Macaca fascicularis: one gene and its partner. The protein of the gene in region 1 purifies or fractionates together with the protein of each later gene. This does not show direct contact. Links are inferred from orthologs where the notes say so. Each region holds a gene or a part of one and is shown in the gene's direction. Other genes may lie near its edges. The genes, in order: SERBP1 and TSR1.

Region 1 (11,884 bases):
TGTGACTAACACCACAGCCACCTAAGCCCTGACTTGCCGGACACGAACGGACAATTAATTGGAATGACTGTAACAGCGTTTCTGTAAACAGTGCTTCCTAGCGGCTTGCCCAGTGTCTAGCGCTGCACAGTCAGGAGTTAACCACTCCTACGACACCGGCCGCCACACGGTGAGAAGCCCGGGAAAGACGCGCCACACTCCCATGTGATAGTTTCACTTGTCTTTTTGGTTAGTTCTGCTACCCTAGTTCACGTCCCCGCGAGAGGAAACGTATTCCACCTCACATTAGACAGAAGAGCCTCGATTCACCGTGGAGCCTGACAAAAGGGCACTCCAGCGACTGAGCTGCTCGGACTTGGCACAGGCAGGGTCCAGCCTACTCGCTGCCGGCGCGGCGTCTCAGCAACACCCCCTCCCCCGGAAGTTTGTGCGTCTCAGATGTAAGGTCTGGGAGTCACCTTGACCCTTCCCGGAGCGGTGGGGAAAGTTAGCCTGAGCCCGAGGGAGCGTGAGTGAAACCAAAGAGCACTTTCGCGAGTCAGCTACGCCGTCACGTTTTTCTGGTTTCAGGGTAGCTGAAGACCTAGAGAGTTTAAGGGCGACCAGAGCAGGTGGCAGGACTCCGCCCACCACCACGCTTCCCCTCCTTCAGCTCGCACGCTTCACTCCCTTCTTGGGGTCCCGCCTCTCGGGCGCGCGCGAAGAGTTGTCGCGCGGTGCATCCTGGGAATTGTAGTCCCAACGCAGGGAGTCGCCTCAGGAGAAACTACTCTGGCCTACACACCCCACAGTGCCTTGCGGCGCTGGCCGCTCCCGGATGTGTGCCTGGCGCCGGAAGAGAAGACGGCCCCCCTCTCTCGGCCCGGCCATCTTGTGGGAAGAGCTGAAGCAGGCGCTCTTGGCTCGGCGCGGCCCGCTGCAATCCGTGGAGGAACGCGCCGCCGAGCCACCATCATGCCTGGGCACTTACAGGAAGGCTTCGGCTGCGTGGTCACCAACCGATTCGACCAGTTATTTGACGACGAATCGGACCCCTTCGAGGTGCTGAAGGCAGCGGAGAACAAGAAAAAAGAAGCCGGCGGGGGCGGCGTTGGGGGCCCCGGGGCCAAGAGCGCAGCTCAGGCCGCGGCCCAGACCAACTCCAACGCGGCAGGCAAACAGCTGCGCAAGGAGTCCCAGAAAGACCGCAAGAACCCGCTGCCCCCCAGCGTTGGCGTGGTTGACAAGAAAGAGGAGACGCAGCCGCCCGTGGCGCTTAAGAAAGAAGGTAAAGCAGGGGCAGAATGTGGGGGAGACTGGGATGGAGGGAAGGAGCGAGAGGGCTGCCGGCTACCACTTGTTTCTGGAGCTCCGAGGGTCCGCGGGAGACTTTGCCGCCTATTTCCTCACGTTTCTTCACGCGACAAAAGCCAGGTCCTGCGAAGGTGCCAGGAGCGTGGTAGCCCCAAGTTCAAGCCACCGCCGGCGAGGCTCTCGGAGCCACCCCCTTCCCGCCTTAGGTTGTGAGCGGAGGAGCGTGGTCGGAGATGAGCTGCTCCTCGAGCGCGCTCGGGGTCCGGGGAGGCTGTTGCCTTCCCGCCGGATTCCTTGGCGGGCGAGCGCATGGACTGAGGTGCGGGGAAGCCGGCCGCTCACCGACGCTTGCCGTAGTTACGGAGGGGCTCGGGGTCCATCGCTGCTTACTGCGCAGAGCTGCTCCTTTGAGGTGCTGTTGTTTCAGGCTCCTGTCCTGCCATCTTGTCCCACGACGGCGCGGAGTATCCCCGCCGAAAAGCAGGGGGTCGTTCCAGGCCATCGGACGTGTGGAGTCAGCCGCAGGTTGGGGTGCCGCGTGTGCTTTATTGTTTCTCCTCCACCTCTCAACTGTTAGGACTTTCTCAGAACTTGCTGGGGTGAGTTGAGCTGTTGGGAAATGGAGGAGTTTGGCCACACTCGACTAAGCAGAAGCGGGAATTATGAATGAAGACTGGTGATCGCAGGACGTCCCGAGGAAAGTCCTCGAGTCACGATCCTCTCTCTCTCGACTCCCCAAACTGAGTCTTTCACATGGTGGACTCTGGGCCTCGTGGGTAAAGTGAGTGCAGAGGCTGTCACAGCGTTAGTCGCAGCAGAGCTCTTTAGAGTCTGCAGCTTTTTTTTCCCCCTCCACATGTGCGTGAAGCATGGTCAGAGTTTCACTGGCGGTTAATAGTTGCTTCCAGGGCACTGTGAGTTTCACAGGATTGTCTTGATTTTTGCATTCTCATTACCAGTTTGTTACGGATGAAAAAGAGCAAGTAGTTCGAAGATAAGAACGTGCATGATCAATAGCAAGCAGGTGTCGGACCTAAGGTCTGAATCTTTAAAGCTGTATTTATATGTTGAAAGTTGAAATTACCCCTTCCTGCCACGTGCTTCTCTGAAAGGAGTTCTCATTAGCTTTTGTTGACTTCTGTGACATTCAACTAATTTTGAAAATCAAAACAATTTCCTCGTGGTGGGATTTGTTTTAGGAGGTTTATTGTTTTTTGTGGTTTTTTTTTTTTTTGAGGACTTTTATGAGGCTTAGAATGAAGAACCTCGGTCCTAGGTGGTGAATGAAGAAAATAATTCTTGTGGTAAAATTATAGGTTGAGGAGAAACACAGTTGGAGTATTAGAAAGCATGTACATCACTTAGGCCAAGTATCTCTTCAGCCAATTAAGCTTTATGGCAATCTAACACACCTAAATAAATCATTTAATTCGTGTGTTAAGTAATGCTGACTTGTGTAATTATTTAAACTATGCTTAAGCTTAAGAAAGTAAACAAAAAAGTTGAGTCTGACGAATAGTGTGTACCAGGTAGATGTGTTCACTCATTTTGAATGTTCAAAACATGAAGCATGTTTAAATGCCTGAGTTATTTTGATCATGAAGCCCATCTAAGAAATAAGCTCTTACCTGAAAAGTATTTTAAGTGACAAATGTGGGGAATGATTTCATGAAGTTAGAACTAAGACTTAAGTTCACCATTCAATAAGTCTTTCCATGGGAAAACTATTCCATATTAGCAATCAACATTTTCCTTAGGTCAGTATTTCAGAGCACTCTTATTAAGTTGCATAAAATACAAGCATGTAAATACAAGAAAAGTGTTGAATGGACAATACCCGTTTTGAGATTCTACTGTCCTATTTACTGGGAATATATCTGTAAACAAAATCCCTGCAGATAGTAGGAAGGTTAACCTGATTGTGTTCTGTGGTTTTGACAACACATTGTGACATAATGCTTGACATACTTTAGACAGATATTTAATGTTTATGTTTTATGAATTAATTTTGTAGCTTCTCTTGCCTATTTGAAGAACTTGAGAATTGATAGCAGAATGTCATTGAGAGTGTAGACCAGGCATTTTCTAAAACAGAATGGATGCCTGAAACTAGTGCAGTTAATGAGCTTGCAGGTTATACATAAGTATATCAAAAGAAGCTTGCATTTTTAAATGTCAGTCTTTTTCATTAGGTGAGTTTAATCTAAGTTTCTAAGATTCTGTAAGCTTAATATTGATATTGGGTGGGGACGCCAACTATTGTTCACTTGGGTGTGTGTGGCTTGGATATTATTGCAAGGACTGGCTCCTTAACTCCACCCCAGTACGCTTTATTACTGATGACATTTATTTAAATACCTTGGTGTAAGGTCTAACATTTGTAGTCTGTCTTGTATTTGCTGGGAATGAACTTCAAAATTCTATTGAAGAGACTGATAGTTACTGTTTGGCTCCAGTTACAGGCAATTGAACAATTGGGTGTGTCCTGATGGTGTTCTACTTTCTTCGAACCAAAGTGAAGCAGCTTAAAATCTTGTAAAACCAATTCCTCAGCTGCTTTATGACTTTGTCAGAAATTGGGAATTAGAGCATACCAACAATCTTAAAGTCATTAATTTAATCATCCATCTATTGATCCTTAAGGGCACTAGTAATTTAAATTGGTTGCCTTTGTGGGGTTTCAAACATTACAGGAAAAGCAGTAAAGGGGGAAATTAGTAAATGCTTCAGCTATCACTTAGTGTCACAAGTTTCTTATTTCTTACCTACTGCTTAAAAGGGGTCTTATGTGTGTGGATTTGGTTTTTAAAGATTATTTGACAATAAAGATAGTTGTTAGGGCAGATTTTTTAGAGGACTGTCTCCATGCATAATAAGTAACTGTTTCCTAACTTGGAAGTACTTAGAGATGTGGGAGTGTGTACAAACATATATACACTTACATGCTATAAATTTTTAAACTGTTTAATAGGGGAAGATGGCCCTTTTTGTGTGCCTGCAGTTGAGACTAAAAGATGACACTTTCTGGTTAAATGGCTGTTTTAAACTGAGGTGATGTTCTCTAATAATCCTAAATGCCATATTTTCCTTTCAGATTTGTGATTCCATAGAATTATGAGTCTTAATTGCTTTTTTGTTTTTTCAGATTAGATAGGATAACAAAGTGTGGCCCTCACTTTTGTGAGGGGCCATATCTAGTGAGTGTGTTGATTTGCTTGGTTATTATGAACGGCTGCTGGTATTTTCTTTGGTATTTTAAAAGCCAAAATGTATCACTTGCCTAACATTTTTTAAATTTAAAACTTTTTATTAAGAGACTGATATCTTGAAAAGTGACGGGAATAATGGTTGCCCAAATGATTTCCAAGTCAGTTATAGAAAATGCTTATGAGGGGGAGAATAACTTGGCAAACTAAATAGAAGTTTAAAACAAGTTTATTGTCTGTATTTTATTTATTTATGTATTTGGTCCGTGGTATGGATTGGAAGGTTTATTGTCTTTAAATGGCAGTTTCCCTAAGGTACTTTGTTACACATTAGAGTTACCCAGTGTTTACTTTTTTCCAACAGGAAATGGTAGTGGATTGGAAGAGAAGCAGCTTTTTGACAGTCCAGGCCTAAACTTTTTGTATTGCGAAAATAGTTTGCTTATGCAGGTTATCTATCCTTTTAGGAATAAGACGAGTTGGAAGAAGACCTGATCAACAACTTCAGGGTGAAGGGAAAATAATTGATAGAAGACCAGAAAGGCGACCACCTCGTGAACGAAGATTCGAAAAGCCAATTGAAGAAAAGGGTGAAGGAGGCGAATTTTCAGTTGATCGGTAAGTTGTTTTTTTTTGTTTTTGAGCCAGGATCTTGGTCTAACTCCTAGGCTTGGAGTGCAGTGATGCAAGCGTAGCTCACTACAGTCTCTGCTTCCTGGGCTCAAGCAGTCCTCTCATTTCAACCTCCTCCTGAGTAGCTCGGACTACAAGATCACACCACCACACTCTGCTAATTTTTTTGTAGAGCTGAGGTCTCACTATCTATATTGCATGGGTGGGTCTTGAGCTCCTCTGCTCAAGCTATCCTCCTGCAATATTGGGATTACAGGCGTGAACCAAAAAAGTCTTCATATTTTGTTACTTTATAGAGTCACCGCTTAATGTTAAGCTATAAATTGGGAATAATTGCCAGGTAGCAGTCTGGCTAATTGTTTCTATTAGTTTTTGACAGAAACATCTGTATGTGTGCATTGTTATGTTTTAGACCTTTGGGTGATGGTTCAAACTTAGGTCTCTTGTAATGGAAGCACTTTATTGAATTGATAACCACTTTTTTTTTCTTGCTGTCTCCCGATACAGAGTTAGAAGGAAAATACTGTTGGTTTATTAAATGTGTTTAATTTTTAAGTGTATTAGTAAATAGTGATGGACTGGATTATATGTGCAATGAGTAACAGTGGAAAAGTATATGCATTGGTAGTAATGTTTTAGAGTGCTAAAATAGTTTTCTTGTTCTGGGAGGCTTTCTTGTTCTGGCTTCCTTTATGTTTAGAAATAGACTATTTTGAATTTTCTGAAGCATGTGTATTTATTGGTTTTTGAGCTGGTAAACATGTTCTGTATTTTTGGGTTTTTGGATGGATTTTCCTCATTCTGGAAACCATGGAAGTATAATTTGTTTATATTATAGACCGATTATTGACCGACCTATTCGAGGTCGTGGTGGTCTTGGAAGAGGTCGAGGGGGCCGTGGACGTGGAATGGGCCGAGGAGATGGATTTGATTCTCGTGGCAAACGTGAATTTGATAGGCATAGTGGAAGTGATAGATCGTAAGTCTTACTGGTTTTTAGTTTATTTTAATATTTTAATCTAATAAACAAACTTTGAATTTCTAGAACTAAAGAGTATTATGTTAACTCAGTTTTGTTAGTTCTTTTTCACATTACAGTGGCCTGAAGCACGAGGACAAACGTGGAGGTAGCGGATCTCACAACTGGGGAACTGTCAAAGATGAATTAACGTTGGTATTCTGATTTTTTAAAAAATTCTGTACCTAACTAGGGGTTAATCCATACCTCTGTCAAATTTTACTTGTCTCTGAGATAATGAATGCTCTCCTCTGAGAGCTACTGTAAGATAATGTCCTATGGGATGAATTTGGGTTGTAGTGTATTGAATGACTGGTTTTTCTATACTTCAATATATTTGTTACTCATTTTTCCCCCATATATATTTGTAGCTTTTCCTGAAACCCCACAATAAGGTTATTTGGGTATTCTGATTATCTTAGTGTCCTTAATAGTTCCTATTCTAGTTTTTGACTTTGTTGTCATTACAAAATTTGTTAAACTAGTAAAGCTTGGTTTTATAATTAGCTGCCTTGTTCTGTTACTTTTTAAGTATGAAGTATATGAACTAAATAGTTTATATTATTTGCTTTTCAAGGTCTTCTGGGGAGTATATTTAGTAGGAAAGGAGTTAGAGAATGTGAGGGCTTACGGTATTTTTGTATGAAGAACTCTTCAGCTACATGTAAATGGACCTAGATGCCTTTCTTTTTCTTTCTTTCCTTAGAGAGTCCCCCAAATACATTCAGAAACAAATATCTTATAATTACAGTGACTTGGATCAATCAAATGTGACTGAGGAAACACCTGAAGGTGAAGAACATCATCCAGTGGCAGACACTGAAAATAAGTAAGTGGTTTTGCGTGTAATAGTAATGACCCAGAATTGAAAGCACTGGATTTTGACCAATGAGATAACCCATAGATTTAATGCTGTTGCTTGATGGCTTTTTGTTTTTGACAAGGGAGACGTATTGTACCCTCATCCCTCAAAGAGTATTTAAAAGAATGCTTTTTTTTTTTTTTTTTTTTTTTTCTTTTTTTGGTAAGAGACAGGGTCTCACTATATTGCCTAGGCAGGTCTGGAATTCCTGGGCTCAAGCGTTCCTCCTGCCTTGGCCTTCCAAAGTGCTGGGATTACAGGCATGAGCCGCTGCACCCAGCCCTTAAAAGAGTGCTTTATGTGTATATATTTTGACTATGCTTTGAAAAATAGAATATTTTAATGTGGTTATTTCTGTTTGATTAGTCATTTTACCATTGTCATACAACCGTACAAATTTTACTTTGAGATAGTTAAAAGTAGAAAATGTGGCCATTTTAAGATTAGTTCTGTCTTGAAGTTACTTCCAACGTAGAATTTGGAACATAGCATTACTGGCCTGTTTTTAAATGTGTGAAGAGAGCAAAGATCAGAGTATGTTATTCACGAGCATTTTTTTCTTTTTTGAGACCAGGTCTCATTCTGTTGCCCAGGCTGGAATGCAGTGGAGTGATCTTGGCTCACTGCAGCCTCCGCTTCCTGGGCTCAAACAATCCTTCCACCTCAGCCACCTGAGTAGCTGGGACTACAGGTGCCTGCCACCAGGCCTGGCTAATTTTTGTATTTTTAGTAGAGGAGAGTTTCACCATTTTGCTCAGGCTGGTCTTCAACTCGTGAGTTCAGGCAAGCCACCCACCTTGGCCTGCCAAAGTGCTGGGATTACAGGCGTGAGCCATCTTGCCCAGCCCTTCACTAACTTTTTTTTTTTTTAATGCCTCGCTAATATTCTATATTTTTTAGTAGAGAGGGGTTTCACTGTCTTGGCCAACTGGACAGGCTGGTCTTGAACTCTTGACCTCAGGTGATCTGCCCTCCTCGGCCTCCCAGAGTGCTGGGATTACAGGAGTGAGCCACCACGTCTGGCCCTTCACTAGCTTTTAAAATTACGTGTTTTTGTTTTGTGTTTTTTTTTTTTTCTTTTTCGAGACAGTCTCGCTCTGTCACCCAGGCTGAAGTGCAGTGGCGTTATCTCGGCTCACTGCAACCTCTGCCTCCTGGGTTCAAGCAATTCTTCTACCTCAGTCTTCCGAGTAACTAGGATTACAGGCGTGCATCACCACACCTGGCTAATTTTTTATATTTCTAGTAGAGACGGTTTCACCATAATGGCCAGGCTGGTCTCGAATTCCTGATCAGAGTGCTGGGATTATGGGCGTGCGCCACGGCGCCTGGCCTAAAATTATGTTTATTTTGTCAGTTATTTGTTATTGTGGTTTAAAGTCTTGGATTACAGGTTGTTTAGGACAGTGATTCCTAACCAGAAGCATATTCAAGTTAGTTTGGGGGTGGGAGGGGCAGATGCTTTCTAAACTTGCTCTTTTTTTTTTTTTTTTTTTTTTTTTGAGACGGAGTTTCACTTGTTGCCCAGGCTGGAGTGCAATGGCGTGATCTCGGCTCACTGCATCCTCTGCCTCCTGGGTTCAAGTGATTCTCCTGCCTCAGCTCCTGAGTAACTGGGATTACAGGTATGTGCCACTATGCCCAGCTAAGTTTGTATTTTTAGTAGAGATGGGATTTCTCCATGTTGGTCAGGCTGATCTCCAACTCCCGACCTCAGGTGATCCGCACACCTCAGCATCCCAAAGTGCTGGGATTACAGGCGTGAGTCACTGCGCCTGGCCTTGAATTTTTTCTTTTCTTCAGGAAGAATTGCTCTTATGGTGAAACACTGTTAATGATGGGAGTATCATATTCCATGGATTTGTTGGGATAAGGAAAAATGATATACTATTGGAGGGAGTAGATAAAAGTACCTAGTATTGGGTGATGTTTTGAACTTGGTAGTACAAATTTATGCAAAACTATAATGGAATCATACTTTTGCCTGATAAACAATGAAATTGTGATTGGTGCCTTAACAAATGAACCCTATGCAACATTAAGTTTCTCACAGTGGTCAACATTTTTGTTTGTTTGTTTCTTTGAGACACAGTCTCCTGTCTCCCATGCTAGAGTGCAGTGGTGCGATTTTGGCTATTCTGAGGTTCAGGTGATTCCCCTGCCTCAGTCTCCCGATTACCTGGGACAATAGGTATGCTCCAGCATGCCCGGCTAATTTTTGTATTTTCAGTAGAGACACGGTTACACCATGTTGGCCAGGCTGGTCTTGAACTCCTGGCCTCAAGTGATCCTCCTGCCTTGGCCTCCCAAAATGCTGGGATTACAGGTGTGAGCCACGGCGTCCAACCACAACTGTTTAATAGAGCCCATGTTGAATCACTCAGAGTGATCTGCAAATATTATAACTTTACCAAAAGGTACTAATGTGCTGATAGCGTATCGGTAGCAAATCCTTAGCTGAGTACCCAGGAATGAAATTGAAGGTGTTTGGTTTAAAGAAAATAATTATCCATCACATTAGAACTGTCTCTAATCTTACTCCAGAGTAGGGAAGAATCTGGGCATAGCATATGGAAGTATAAATTTAAGAAACACAACATTGGCTGACTGATTAACTAGCTTATATATAGCTTCCAGAGCTTCTGTTTGGTTTTTATTTAATCTTTGCAGTGATTCCTGAAAGGTGGGTGTCATGCCTCCATGATATGATAAAAGGTATGCTAAGTTATATTCCTGGCTGTGTTATAACATGGGTAACCAGGACTTTTTTTATATTCTTGGATTTCTCATCTGTAAAATGACTGGGTGGACTCAGTACCCAATTCAGTGTAAACTTGCTCTAGAGTTGTTTTTTGTTTTTTGCAGCATAGATATAACTGGAGGAAGTTTTAAGATAGGATTTGTCAAATGGTAAAGGGCAGCATCCAGGGAGATATTTGAGCTCTAAAGCTAACTGAATCACCTGCTATCTTTGGAAAGAAGGGCTCCCCAAATAGCAAATGACTTGTTTGATGACAATTGCAAATTGAGATTATACTAAAATAATGGATCCTTAGGCCAGTGCTTTGTTTCTGTAAAAAGAGGAAAGGATCGTATTCAATAGTTATAGACTGGAGAATTATATTTAGAAATAAATGGTTTAGTGTTAAATAATGAAACCAGTGTGTGTTTGTGGATAGTTCTATTAGCAGTGAATCCTTGGCCTCCTTTCCATATACAGGTTGGTTTGAAAATTGGAGTATAAGGATTTTAGGATTTGTAGAAACATGGCTATTGTTTTTATTTGCTATAAGTGCTAGTTGCCGAAATAAAGCATAGAGGAACAGTTCTTTTATGTTCCAAAATTTGAACCCTGGTTGCTAACAGACATTCTTCTGTCAAGAGGATAACCTTCTTGTGTGTTATTAAGAATTAACGTATTTTGGGAATTATGGAAATTAAAAATGTGGTTTAAAAGAAGATAGGCTGAGGATTTTACCTAAGAAGGTAGTTTTTAAACAAGGTACTGTTTGGTTTTTTATTTTTTGAGACGGAGTCTCGCTCGTAGCCCAGGATGGAGTGCAGTGGTGTGATCTTGGCTCGCGAGCTCCGCCTCCCGGGTTCACGCCATTCTCCTGCCTCAGCCTCTGGAGTAGCTGGGACTATAGGTGCCCGCCACCACGCCTGGCTAATTTTTTGTATTTTTGGTAGAGACGGGGTTTCACTGTGTTAGCCAGGATGGTCTCGATCTCCTGATCTCGTGATCTGCCCGCCTCGGCCTCCCAAAGTGCTGGGATTACGGGCATGAGCCACTGTGCCCAGCCGGTACTGTTTTTAAGAAATGTATATTTTAGTATTGGTAAAGCCTGTTCTAGGTTGTATTACTGATAAATGATCATTTAAGAGTTCATGAGGATGAATTCTATATCCCTTACTTGTATATAGTCAGCAAACACTGAATTCCTGGTCTCTACCAAGTTGCTTAGTTACACAGGAAACTAGGATACCCTCATCCTTGGATAATCTTTCTCTAAAAGATTACAAGGTTCACTTTCTTAATTAAAATCATAAATTTGAAATATTTTGATGTAAATTATATCAGCTCTCTACCAGGTATAAAACTTGAAAACCTTTTCACAGGGAGAATGAAGTTGAAGAGGTAAAAGAGGAGGGTCCAAAAGAGATGACTTTGGATGAGTGGAAGGCTATTCAAAATAAGGACCGGGCAAAAGTAGAATTTAATATCCGAAAACCAAATGAAGGTGCTGATGGGCAGTGGAAGAAGGGATTTGTTCTTCATAAATCAAAGAGTGAAGAGGTAAAATTAAGTTTTGTCGTGTTTGAAAATGTTCACATGTGACTTGAATTGTATTTATAATTTTTGTTTTAAAATTTCACATGGGTGATTTGTCTATAAAAAAAGCTTTACATAGGATCATTTGGGGCAGATAATTTGCTTTATAAGGAAAATAAACTGTATTACATATTCTCAGAAAGTCCTTCGATCAGTTCATAATTATGTTTTATGTGGTAGAGATGCTTTTTCCTAAAAAGCTGTTAGTGGTGTATTGTGTAATTATTAGTGTTCAGAAATATGATAGTTCTTTTCAAAGTTGTGATTGTATTTTTGAAATCTTGCCAAACTGGAGATCATTAAAGGACTTTGGTATTATGGTGTTAGGTTGAAATCTTGACATTTTCATATAACCTAAAATGTAAGTGACTTCATTTGGAATTCAGCTTTTGAAACTGTCTGCCTATATCATATGTAATGGCCAGGACACTCAGTAAATGGTAATATGCATCTTGTCTAAGGAATGATGGCTTTAAAAACCAAAGAATATGTGGGTTTTACTTAAGAAACATGGAAACTAGTGAAAATACAGTTGACTT
Region 2 (12,446 bases), on another chromosome or scaffold:
AAGGGTGCCTGAACGCTCCTACGTTAAGCCTACATTAAGCCTACGTTCGGCTTAAATGCCAGTCATTGGTGGAGGGAAAGGATGAACCTGTGTTTCAGCATCTGCACTCCCCATTAATTAGCATTGTCAGTTCTTAGAATGAGTCTGAATCTGCTAGTTTGGTTTGCCTTCTTTCAGTTTAGGCAATTGTATTCCTAGGCTATGAAGATTTTTATTTTTCTTACTTGGTCCCCAGATGTCAGTATTGAATATGGTGGTGAGGCGTGACCCTGGCAACACTGAACCCGTGAAAGCCAAAGAAGAGCTCATATTCCACTGTGGATTCAGGCGCTTCCGAGCCTCACCTTTATTCTCTCAGCACACTGCAGGTTAGCAGTGGGGAACCTGGGTTCTTGTCCATCTTGTCTTTTGGGAAACTGACTTGTGGAGGGGTACAGAATATGGTTTCAAAATCTTACATCTCTGGATTAGAGGTATTTTCAGTACTCTGGCTTAAGAGCCAATGATGTTTTTACTCAAAATGTCTGAACCTGTCTGAAGCATCCCAGTGATGCAACCTCTGTGTGATACTGAGGCTTTTTTGCCATGAGTATTTGTTCCAGAGCAGGTTTTGAGTAGAAGTTGGCAGCTCTGTAAAAAGGGTATTAGGGTGGGTGAAGTGGTGCAGTGGCTTACACCCATAATCCCAACACTTGTGGCATTAGAATGGGGAATTGGAGACCAAAAAAACTAAGGTTTAATCATATATATATATATTTTTTTTTTTTTTAAATTTTTTTTGAGACGGAGTCTTGCTCTGTCGCCCAGGCTGGAGTGCAGTGGCGAGATCTGGGCTCACTGAAGCTCCGCCTCCCGGGTTCACGCCATTCTCCTGCCTCAGCCTCCCGAGTAGCTGGGACCACAGGCGCCCGCCACCACGCCAGCTAAGTTTTTGTATTTTTAGTAGAGACGGGGTTTCACCATGTTAGCCAGGACGGTCTTGATCTCCTGACCTTGTGATCCACCTGCCTCGGCCTCCCAAAGTGCTGGGATTACAGGCGTGAGCTGCCACCACGCCCGGCCTGGTTATTTTTTATTTTATTTTATTTTTTGGAGACGAGTCTTACTCCATTGCCCAGGCTGGAGTGCAATCGTATGATCTCGGCTCACTGCAATCTCCGCCTCCTGGGTTCAAGCCGTTCTCCTGCCTCAGCCTCCCAAGTAGAGTAGTTGAGACTACAGGCACGCACGACCATGCCCAGCTAATTTTTGTATTTTTAGTAGAGATGGGGTTTCACCATGTTGGCCAGGCTGGTCTTGAACTCCTGGCCTCAGGTGATCCGCCCACCTCGGTCTCCCAAAGTGCTGGGATTACAGACGTGAGCCAGCGTGCCTGGCCTTTTTTTTTTTTTTTTTTTTTTTTTTTTTTTGAGACGGAGTCTCTCTCACTCTGATGCCCAACTGGAGTGCAATGGTGCCATCCAGGCTCACTGCAACCTCTGCCTTCCAGGTTCAAGCAATTTTCCTGCCTCAGCTTCCCGAGTAGCTGAGATTACAGGCGCCTGCCACCACGCCTGGCTAATTTGTGTATTTTTAGTAGAGACAGGGTTTTACCATGCTGGCCAGGCTGGTCTTGACCTTAGGCGATCCTCCTGCCTTGGCCTCCCAAAGTGCTAGGATTACAGGCGTGAGCCACTGCACCTGGCCAATCATTTTTTTATTGTTTCAAAATGGTTTTGATTTTTTTTTAGGATGAAATAACTATTTTCATATTTTAGACAGTTGGGAAAATAAGGAATAATGTAAAAGTACAATTATCTTAGAGAAAATTCACTTTTATTTTATACATTTTCATGTGGATCTCTGTTTTTTTTTTTTTTTTTTAACAGAATTTGGATTGTAATTGTAAATATGGTGTTAAACATTGCATTTATCATTTAATTAATTTTGATCAATTTTCCATAAGATTAATTAGTTTATGAGACTTTTAATGCTTTATTGTCATTTGGATATATTCCAGTGTATGTGATGTACTGATATTTATTTGAGCTTCTACAGGTGAGGACTTAGGCTATTTCTAATGTTTTGCTCTAAATTAGATCTGTGTGCATAAAACTTTATTTACTTCTCTGCTTATTTCATAAAGGCAGATCCTTAGAACTGGAACTAAATCAAAGTCTTAGTTCCAGAGACTGAGGCAGGAGGATCACTTGAGGTCAGGAGTGTGAGACCCCTGTCTCTACAATTTTTTTTTCTTCCCGATACAGAGTCCAGCTCTGTCACCCAGGCTGGAGTGCGGTAGCATGATCTCAGCTCACTACAGCCTCCATCTCCTGGGTTCAAATGATTCTGGCGCCTCAGTCTCCCAAGTAGCTTGGACCACAGGCGTCCGCCACCACGCCCAGCTAATTTTTGTATTTTTAGTAGAGATGGGGTTTCACCACGTTGGCCAGTCTGGTCTCAAACTCTTGACCTCAGGGATCTGCACACGTGCCTTGGCCTCCCAAAGTGCTGGGATTTTTAGGGATGAGCTACCATGCCCGGCCTCTACAAAAAAAATTTCATTTTTGGGGAGATGGAGTTTTGCTCTTGTTGCCCAGGCTGGAGTGCAGTGGCAGGATCTTGGCTCACTGCAACCTCTGCCTACTAGGTTCAAGTGATTCTCCTATCTCAGCCTCCCAAGCAGCTGGGATTATAGGCGTGTACTACCATGCCCAGCTAATTTTTGTATTATTAGTAGAGATAGGGTTTCACCATCTTGGCCAGGCTGGTCTGGAACTCCCTACCTCAGGTGATCCGCCTGCATCGGCCTCCCAAAGTGCTGGGATGACAGGCGTGAGCCACTGCACTCTGCCAAAATTTTTAAAAAACTTAGCCAGGTGTGGTGGCATGTGCTTTGCAGCCTCAGCTACTTGGGAGGCTGAGGCGAGAGGGATTGCCTGAGCCAGTGAGCCCAGGAGTTTGAGGCTCCAGTGAGCTGTGTTCACACCACTGCCCTTTAAATATTTTAATGAAAGCTACATTGAAGGTAGAACATCACATACAGTCTAGGCTCCAAGATTCTGACTCCAGATAAAAAAGTTACTGATCGGGCGCCTGCAATTCCAGCTATTCGGGAGCCTGAGGTGGGAGAATCGCTTGAACCTGGGAGGTGGAGGTTGCAGTGAGCAGAGATGGTGCCATTGCACTCCAGCGTGGGCAACTAGAGCAAGACACCATCTGAAAATAATTAAAAAGTTACTGATACAGCCTGGCACTGTGGTTCATGCCTGTAATCCCAGCACTTTGGGAGATTGAGGTGGGCGGATCACAAGGTCAGGAGTTCGAGACCAGCCTGGACAACACGGTGAAACCCCGTCTCTACTAAAAATACAAAAATCAGGCCGGGCGCAGTGGCTCAAGCCTGTAATCCCAGCACTTTGGGAGGCCGAGACGGGCGGATCACGAGGTCAGGAGATCGAGACCATCCTGGCTAACACGGTGAAACCCCGTCTCTACTAAAAAATACAAAAAACTAGCCGGGCGAGGTGGCGGGCGCCTGTAGTCCCAGCTACTCGGGAGGCTGAGGCAGGAGAATGGCGTGAACCCGGGAGGCGGAGCTTGCAGTGAGCTGAGATCCGGCCACTGCACTCCAGCCTGGGCGGCAGAGCGAGACTCCGTCTCAAAAAAAAAAAAAAAAAAAAAAATCAGCCGGGAGTGGTGGCGGGCACCTGTAATCCCAGCTACTCAGGAGGCTGAGGCAGGAGGATGGCTTGTTCCCGGGAGGCGGAGCTTGCATTCAGCTGAGATCACGCCATTGCACTCCAGCCTGGGTGACAAGAACGATACTCAAACTCAAAAAAAAAAAGAAGTTACTGATAGGACTAGACTATCTTTTAGGTGTATTGAGGCAGAGAAAATTTTTGAGAACTGGTGGATTAGAGAAGTAGAAGCTGCCGTAGGTTTAAGAGTTGCACTAATCCAGCTTTTCACAGGCCTCTATTGCCTCTGGTTTCTCAAAATGGTTTTGGTTTTCATATTTTAACCCTTATGGCAGCGGACAAACATAAATTGCAGAGATTCCTGACTGCTGACATGGCCCTGGTGGTGACAGTCTATGCACCAATCACTTTTCCTCCTGCATCTGTGCTGCTTTTCAAGCAGAAAAGCAATGGTAAGTTGAGCCACAGAGATGAACAGACCCTGCAGGCCCTTAATAGGATGAACACTGTTTTCTCTTCTGTATTTAGATTTGGGAGCCAAATGGTATGGAGAAGGTAATGATGGTTTTCAAAATACAGTAAGTCTTCACTTAACGTTGTTTTAAGTGAAACAGTGTATAGCCAGTCTTCAAATAACTGCCTTTTGTTCAACATCCTTTCCTTGTAACAACTGATGAGAAAAAATACGGTTTTGTTATACATCATTTCTCTTCAAGTACAAGTTTTCAAGAACCTATTGACAAGGTTAAGTGTGGACTTAGCAGTTTACCAATCTTAGCCTCAGATTGGGCTAGGGCAGGGATGACAAACCAGGCTCTTACATGGGTCTTTAGATGGACTGGGGCAATAAATGAAGACTTTGGCCTGTAAATTCCTAAATAGCTTCTTTGCTTTTGTGCTTTAGGAATGCACAGCCTCATTGCTACAGGCCATCTTATGTCAGTAGATCCAGACAGAATGGTCATCAAGAGAGTCGTTTTGAGCGGTCATCCTTTCAAAATTTTTACTAAGATGGCAGTAGTACGTTACATGTTCTTCAACAGAGGTAGGTATGAAGGAGGAGGATGGGATCTGATTGCCTTTGTGGTATGAAGGTTGGGTTTACATTTTGTGGGTAAATATTTCATCTTGGTGTTTTATGTGTTTGATTCTAAGAGGATGTGCTGTGGTTTAAACCAGTGGAACTGAGAACAAAGTGGGGCCGGAGAGGACATATCAAGGAGCCTTTAGGTAAGGAAACATGGGATTTGGGACCATGTCTACGTTTCTGCAGTGATGCTAAATGACTATTGGGTTGGAAGTCATTGCTTTAAAATTTTCTACTTTTAATTAGACTGACTTGTTCTGTTTTCTTTCTAGGTACCCATGGCCACATGAAATGCAGCTTTGATGGGAAGCTAAAATCTCAAGACACAGTACTGATGAACCTCTATAAACGAGTTTTCCCCAAATGGACTTACGATCCATATGTACCAGAACCAGTACCCTGGGTGAAAAGTGAGAGTTCTTCAGTAGTACCTCAGGAGGGCATGGAGTAATGGATTCAAAGAGATTCCTTCTTACTGGTGCCAGCCAGTAGTCAGGGATGGGAGGCACAAGTTGTGATTGGGCAGTTTATTTTCTATGTCAGCCTGTCAGTCTGCTGCCCCATTTTGCAAGACTTTTTTTTAGCCTTGACAAAATGTCTCAGTTAAGTATGAAAGTTTTTCTACTACTTAGTCCAAAAAAACTATTAAATCTTAATGAAATAACCACTCCATTAAGAATCTGATAACTAAGAGTTGACTGACTAGGAAACAAAATGTCTTCAGTATCTAAAGACACTGAATCCCACCATTTCCTTTTCTGTAAATTAAACAGAAACAGACTGATAAGCTGGCCTTTCAGCCTGCTTCACCCAAGTTATGGAGGAGGTTAAGTCTACATTTCCACCACTAAGCACAATACAAATGTTCTTTACTTCTGGGGAAACAGTTTGAAAATGTTGAGACAGCACAGCAGCCACTCCAACACCAGCTGTAGGTTCAATGAGTAGTTTCATCCTCTCCCACACCAGCTGGGTTGCACGCTGTTGATATGGAAGGGAGTAGGAATTAGTTATAGGGGAGTCTAGTTGGTTTACTTATAAAGGTCAGATGAGAATATATGTCCAGTTTGAATTTTCTTATCACTGTGTATACATGCTTCCCAAAGCTTTTCTTTAATTCTAACTCTGCTTCTGTCAAGAGGGTTGTCATTAATACATCTAGGGTACCCTCCCATGTCATGAAGTTACCTTGTCAAGTTCCCGTGGGTCACTTGCTACTCCTAACAGAAGGTTCTTCTGCCTAAGAAGTTATACCATGCTTTGTTATTTCTTTTCCTGTTGGAGCCTTACCTTAATTTCATCCTCTGTAACAGTGAAGATATCATCCACAAGGTCCCTGATAATAGGCCAGGTGTTCAAGCCAATGCTGGATTTGACACCATCTGCTATGGTGTCTGGAGGATAAAGATTGGGCATCAGTTCCCCCTTCAGCTTGGACTGGTAGCAATCATCTGCATTCAAGGGTTCAGCAGCATATACTTTCACACTAGGTTTCAGAGCCTGGGAAGAGGAATATTAAGACATCTTACAACAAACCACAACATTGCCTGTATGTCTAAAAGAAAATAGGGGCAGGGTGTGGTGGCTTATGCCTGTAATCCCAACACTTTGGGAGCCCAAGGCAGGTAGATCAGCTGAGGTCAGGAGTTCGAGACCAGCCTGGCCAACATGGTGAAATGCAGTCTCAACTAAAAATACAAAAATTAGCCAGGCATGGTGGTGGGCACCTGTAATCCCAGCTACTTGAGAGGCTGAGGTAGGAGAATCGCTTGAACTCGGGAGGCATAGGTTGCAGTGAGCTGAGATCACACCACTACACTCCAGCCTAGGCAACAGAGCTATACTATCTCAAAAAAAAGAAAAGAAAATAGGAACAATAAGTAATACATTTCTGCCCAAGTAAGAGCCTTTCATTTTATGGATATAATGAAAATATTTTCAAGCACTTTATAAATAAATTATATGTCTGATACTAGCCTTCCATTGCCTGGATCGCATCTGATTCTCCTGGTAATTTGAGAAAAGGGTAGCCTCTTGGTATGGATAGTAGCTTGATGACATGGAATTCAGGGAAAAGACTGATGGTGTCACTTATGGGAACTGCTTTTGTGCTGTAAAATTGTCATGGATTAAGAAGAGAGTTGGCCAGGTGCAGTGGCTCACACCTGTAATCCTAGCACTTTGGGAGGCCAGAATAAGGATTGCTTGAGCCCAGGAGTTCAAGACCAACCTGGCCAACATAGCAAGACCCCATCTCTTAAAAAAAAAATACTAAAAATAATAAATAGCCTAGGTGCAGTGGCTCACGCCTGTAATCCCAGCACTTTCGGAGGCCAAGGCAGGCAGATCATCAGGTCAGGAGTTCAAGAACAGCCTTACCAACATGGTGAAACCCCGTCTCTACTACAAAAAAAATGCAAAAAAATTAGCGGGGTGTGGTGGCGTGTGCCTGTAATCCTAGCTACTCAGGAGGCTGAGAGGAGAATTGCTTGAGCCCGGGAGGTGGAGGTGGAAGTGAGCCAGGATGGTGTCACTGCACTCCAGCCTGGATGACAGAGCAAAAGTCTGTCTTGAAGAAAAAAAAAATAGTAAATAGAGTAGTGAGGCAGAGACGGGCCTTCATCTCAAGTCCCAAAGGAATAAGGGGAAGGAATGGTAATGTGTGCAGAATTTTGAGCACGTGTATACAAATCATTTATGATGTAAAATAAATCCTCTGCTTGAAGTAGGGAATCTTCCAGAAGTTGCTCACCTTAATTGTAATTGCTATTCCAGCAATCATTCCTCCTCCACCTACAGGTACCACCAGTGCATCCACCAAAGGAACCTTTAGTGAAAAGAATAAAAACTGTAAATGGGCCTATTAGTAAGCAATTTTATATTTAATGTGTACATATAAAATAATTGAATATAGCCCAACAGCTTTACCAGTAGCTAACCAGGAAGAACTCGGCTATTTTACCTGGTTCAGCACTTCCAGGGCAATTGTCCCTTGTCCAGCTATCACTGCAGGCTCCTGGTTGGGATGTACCATGATGCCTTCTGTTTCTTCTTTAACTCTTTTTGCAACATTTTCTCTGGACTGAAAGTACATTAATTTAGTTTAATTGATTTGTATTTAATAGAGTCCCCAACAAGTTCCGTTTGGTCATTCAACATTTTATTGACCATCTACTTTTTTCAGACTTTGTTCAGGTACTAGAGATATATATGTTAATAAACAAAATATCTCTTCCCTCAAGGGGGTTATATTATATGGTAGAGATGGGGGAAGTAAATATATGGTATGTCTAAGTGCAATGGAGTAAAATTAAGGAATTTATTTCATATAGGGTAGCCAAGAAGAGCCTCTAGTAAAGTGACATTTTAAAAGATCTGAACAAGTGCTGTGGATGTCTAGAATATTCCAGGGAGGGGATAACAGTGCAAAGACTACAAAGTAGGAGTGCTTGGCCTTTCTGAGGAACAGCTGTAAAGGTTAGTATGGCTGGCACAGAGAGGGCAAGAGAAGTAATAGAATATGAGGTCAAGGCTGGGTGCAGTGGCTCATGCCTATAATCCCAGCACTCTGGGAGGCCAAGGTGGGCGAATCACTTCAGGTCAGGAGTTCAAGACCAGCCTTGCCAACACGGCGAAACCCTGTCTCTACTAAAAATACAAAAATTAGCCAGGTGTGGTGGCGCGTGCCTGTAATCCCAGCTACTCTGGTGGCTGAGGCATGAGAATCTCTTGAACCCAGGAAACAGGCTGCTGTGAGCTGAGATCGAACTACTGCACTCCAGCCTGGGTTGGACAGAGCGAGACCCTGTCTCAATAAAAGAAGATGAGGGGCTGGCCGCGGTGGCTTACACCTGTAATCCCAGCACTTTGGGAGGCCAAGGCAGGTGGAACATGAGGTCAGGAGTTCGAGGCCAGCCTGGCCAATATGGTGAAACCCTGTCTCTACTAAAGAATCAAGCCGGGCGCAGTGGCTCACGCCTGTAATCCCAGCACTTTGGGAGGCCGAGGCGGGCGGATCACAAGGTCAGGAGATCGAGACCACGGTGAAACCCCGTCTCTACTAAAAATACAAAAAATTAGCCAGGCGCGGTTGTGGGCACCTGTAGTCCCAGCTACTCGGGAGGCTGAGGCAGGAGAATGGCGTGAACCCGGGAGGCGGAGCTTAGTGAGCCGAGATCGCGCCACTGCACTCCAGCCTGGGCGACAGAGCGAGACTCCGTCTCAAAAAAAAAAAAAAAAAAAAGAATCAAAAATTAGCTGGGTGTGGTGACACACACCTGTAGTCCCAGCTACTCGGGAGGCTGAGGCAGAAGAATTGCTTGAACCCGGGAGGCGGAGGTTGCAGTGAGCAGAGATCGTGCCATTGCACTCCAGCCTGGGTGACAGAGGGAGATTCTGTCTCAAAAGAAAAAAAAAAAAAGATGAGGTCAAAAAGATAGGAATGTTTGAGTTCATCCAGGGCTTACATGATTGCAAGAACTCTGGTTTCCACTGTGTATGAGATGGGAAACCAACAGAAAATTTTGACTTGAAAAGAGACGAGTTCTGACTTTGTTAAATGGAGAGCTCTGTTGCTCAAAAAACCCTATAGTGGGGCAAGGGTGGATGCAGTGAGACCAGTTTGGCTACTGAATTGAATATAGGTGAGAATTGATGTTGGTTTGAATCAGGGTGGTTAACGGTAGACCCAGAAGCAGTTGGGTTATGGAAGTATGTTGAAAGCAAACTGAGATTTGGATGTGGAGTATGAGAGGGTTATCAAAGATGATTCCTGGCTGTGTGCAGTGGGTCATGCCTGTGAGCCTAGCATTTTGGGAGGGCAAGGTGGGAGGATTGCTTGAGCCTAGGGGTTTGAGACCAGCCTGGGCAACCGTGAGACCCTGTCTACAAAAAATAAAGGAATTAGGTGTGGTGGCATGCACCTGTAGTCCTAGCTACTCAACAGGCTGAGGCAGGAGGATCCCACAACATAGGAAGACTCCATCTCTAACAACAACAAAAAAAGTTTTCAGAAACACAAAGATGACTCCAACTTTTTTTGTTTGAGTAACTAGAAGAATAAAAATTGCCATTTACTAAGATGAGAAACCCTGGAAGGGAAGAAATATAGGGAAGTAAGATCAGGAGTTTGGTTTTAGATGTAGTTTGAGATGCCTTTTAAGACATCAAGTGGGAAAATTAGGTAGCTGTTGGATATAAAAGACGGCTGTTAAGGGGAGAGAAGTTGGAGTTGTTAGACCATAGGTAATAATTTAAGCAATGAGACTAATGAGATCTTGTGAGTGTAGATAGAGAAAAGGTTGAGCATGTAACAGAAATAAAGAGGAAACCACAAAGGAGGCTGAGAAGGAGCAGCCGGTAAGGTAGAAAGAGCCATTGGTCAAATGAAAGCTGTTAAGGTGGTACCAAACACTGCTCTCCTTACCTCATCACTAGGTTCACAGTATACAATTGACGCTCCGTAGGCTTGTATTGCAAGTTTTTTACAGTCTGGAGCTGTCTGGGGCACCACAATATAAGCAGGAATTCCTGGGAGAGGAAAACATGTTTGGTTACTACAAGTCAGGAGAATGTAGAACAGAAACTTATGTGGTCAGATGTGGTGGCTCACGCCTGTAATCCCAGCACTTTGGGAGGCTGAGGCAGGTGGATCACGAGGTCAGGAGATCAAGACCATCCTGGCTAACACGGTGAAACCCCGTCTGTACTAAAAATACAAAAAAAAAAAAAAAAAATGGCCGTGTATGGTGGTGGGCGCCTGTAGTCCCAGATACCTGAGAATGAGGCAGGACAATGGTGTGAACCTGGGAGGTGGAGCTTGCAGTGAGCCAAGATCATGCCACTGCACTCCAGCCTGGGCGACAGAGCGAGACTCCTTCTCACAAAAACAACAACAACAACAACAACAAACAAACATGTTCAGCCAGGTGTGGTGGCTCACGCCTGTAATCCTGGCACTTTGGGAGGCCAAGGCGGGTGGATTGCCTGAGCCCAGGAGTTCGAGACCAGCCTGGACAACATGGTGAAATTAGTATTTTGTATTTGTAAAATAAAAAAAATTAGCCAGGTGTGGTGGTGTGCACCTGTAGTCCCAGCTACTCAGGAGGCTGAGGCAGGAACCCGGGAGGCGGAGGTTCCAGTGAGCTGAGATCACGCCACTGCTTCCCAGCCTGGGTGACAGAGCAAAACTCTTGTTTTCAGAAAAAAAAAAAAAAAATTAAAAGAAACGATGTTCATATTGCTTGCAATCAGATGGAGATTTCTTTGGAAAATTACTTACCAAAGCTATCATCACTCTCATGGAAATTAAGGACATTTTTCCCCTCCTTTCTGATGATCTACCCAGTACCTTGAGAAATCAAGTACCTTCCAGTTTGGCAGCATAGGTGAGAGCCTGGCCATGGTTTCCACTGCTGTGAGTAACAACAGCTTTCGGCTTCCCTTCTAAAGCATCAGGAACCAAGCTTCTGACGGCATTAAGAGCACCACGGATCTGAAAAAGAGGGATGGTGAATTCACATATTTGATTAAAACATTGTTTTGAAAAGCAAGGAGCTTTTCTAGATTTTCTATACTTAACATGCACATCCAATCTGTTACCAAATCTTACCGATTTACCTTCTAAATATCTCATGTGCATCTTTACTTTTTTATTTTTTGTTTTTTTGAGATGGAGTCTCTGTTACCCTGGCTGGAGTGCAGTGGCCCGATCTCAGCTCACTGCAACGTCCGCCTCCCCACACCACACCTACCCCCAGGGTCGGGTTCAAGTGATTCTCCTGCCTCAGCCTCCCAAGTAGCTGGGATTATAGGCCCCTGCCACCAAGCCTGGCTAAATTTTTTTTTTTAAGACCTAGTCTCGCTCTGTTGTCACCCAGGCTGGAGTGCAGTGCTGCAATCTCGGATCACTGCAAGCTCCACTTCCTAGGTTCACACCAATCTCCTGCCTCAGCCTCCTGAGTAGCTGGGACTACAGGTGCCCATCACCATACCCGGCTAATTTTTTTGAATTTTTAGTAGAGACGGGCTTTCCCTGTGTTACCCAGGATGGTCTCGATCTCCTGACCTCGTGATCCACCTGCCTCAGCCCCACAAAGTGCTGGGATTACATGCGTGAGCCTCTGCGCCCGGCCTTTTTCATTTTTATTTATTTATTTATTTTTGAGATGGAATCTTGCTCTATCGCTCATGCTGGAGTGCAGTGGTGCAATCTCAGCTCACTGCAACCTCTGCCTTCTGGGTTCAAGCGATTCTCCTGCCTCAGCCTCCCAAGCAGCTGGCATTACAGGTCCTGGCACCAAGACCGGCTCATTTTGTATTTTTAGTAGAAAGGGTTTCACCAAGGCTGGGCGCTGTGGCTCATGCCTGTAATCCCAGCACTTTGGGAGGCCAAGGTGGGCGGATCACGAGGTCAGGAGATCAAGACCATCCTGGCTAACACAGTGAAACCCCATCTCTACCAAAAATACAAAAAGAAATTAGTCAGGCGTGGTGGTGGGCACCTGTAGTCCCAGCTACTCGGGAGGCTGAGGCAGGAGAATGGCGTGAACCTGGAAGGCGGAGCTTGCAGTGAGCTGAGATGGTGCCAGTGCACTCCAGCCTGGGGGACAGAGCGAGACTCCGTCTCCAAACAAAACAAAATGAAAAAGCGTTTCAAGGCCGGGCGCGGTGGCTCAAGC

Evidence for each region.
Region 2: the proteins of SERBP1 (region 1) and TSR1 purify together in Homo sapiens (affinity purification with mass spectrometry; 3 studies listed by BioGRID and IntAct, with this or other methods). This does not show direct contact. The link is inferred for Macaca fascicularis from reciprocal best matches to the Homo sapiens genes SERBP1 and TSR1.

The regions. Positions count from the first base shown.
Region 1 is NC_088375.1:167,246,395-167,258,278, forward strand, and holds the start of SERBP1 (SERPINE1 mRNA-binding protein 1), read left to right. Parts: upstream 1-852; 5' UTR 853-954; coding exon 955-1,267; intron 1,268-4,966; coding exon 4,967-5,117; intron 5,118-5,970; coding exon 5,971-6,111; intron 6,112-6,212; coding exon 6,213-6,302; intron 6,303-6,856; coding exon 6,857-6,979; intron 6,980-11,131; coding exon 11,132-11,309; intron 11,310-11,884. UniProt on the Homo sapiens protein: Ribosome-binding protein that promotes ribosome hibernation, a process during which ribosomes are stabilized in an inactive state and preserved from proteasomal degradation.
Region 2 is NC_088390.1:2,438,097-2,450,542, reverse strand, and holds the end of TSR1 (pre-rRNA-processing protein TSR1 homolog), read left to right. Parts: intron 1-235; coding exon 236-368; intron 369-491; exon of another isoform or gene 492-586; intron 587-4,015; coding exon 4,016-4,132; intron 4,133-4,584; coding exon 4,585-4,725; exon of another isoform or gene 4,726-4,835; coding exon 4,836-4,910; exon of another isoform or gene 4,911-5,039; coding exon 5,040-5,218; 3' UTR 5,219-5,532; coding exon of another isoform or gene 5,533-5,748; 3' UTR 5,749-6,057; coding exon of another isoform or gene 6,058-6,267; 3' UTR 6,268-6,742; downstream 6,743-12,446. Other genes in the region: SRR (serine racemase), read right to left, coding at 5,533-5,748, 6,058-6,267, 7,520-7,594, 7,730-7,849, 10,193-10,296, 11,134-11,260. UniProt on the Homo sapiens protein: Required during maturation of the 40S ribosomal subunit in the nucleolus.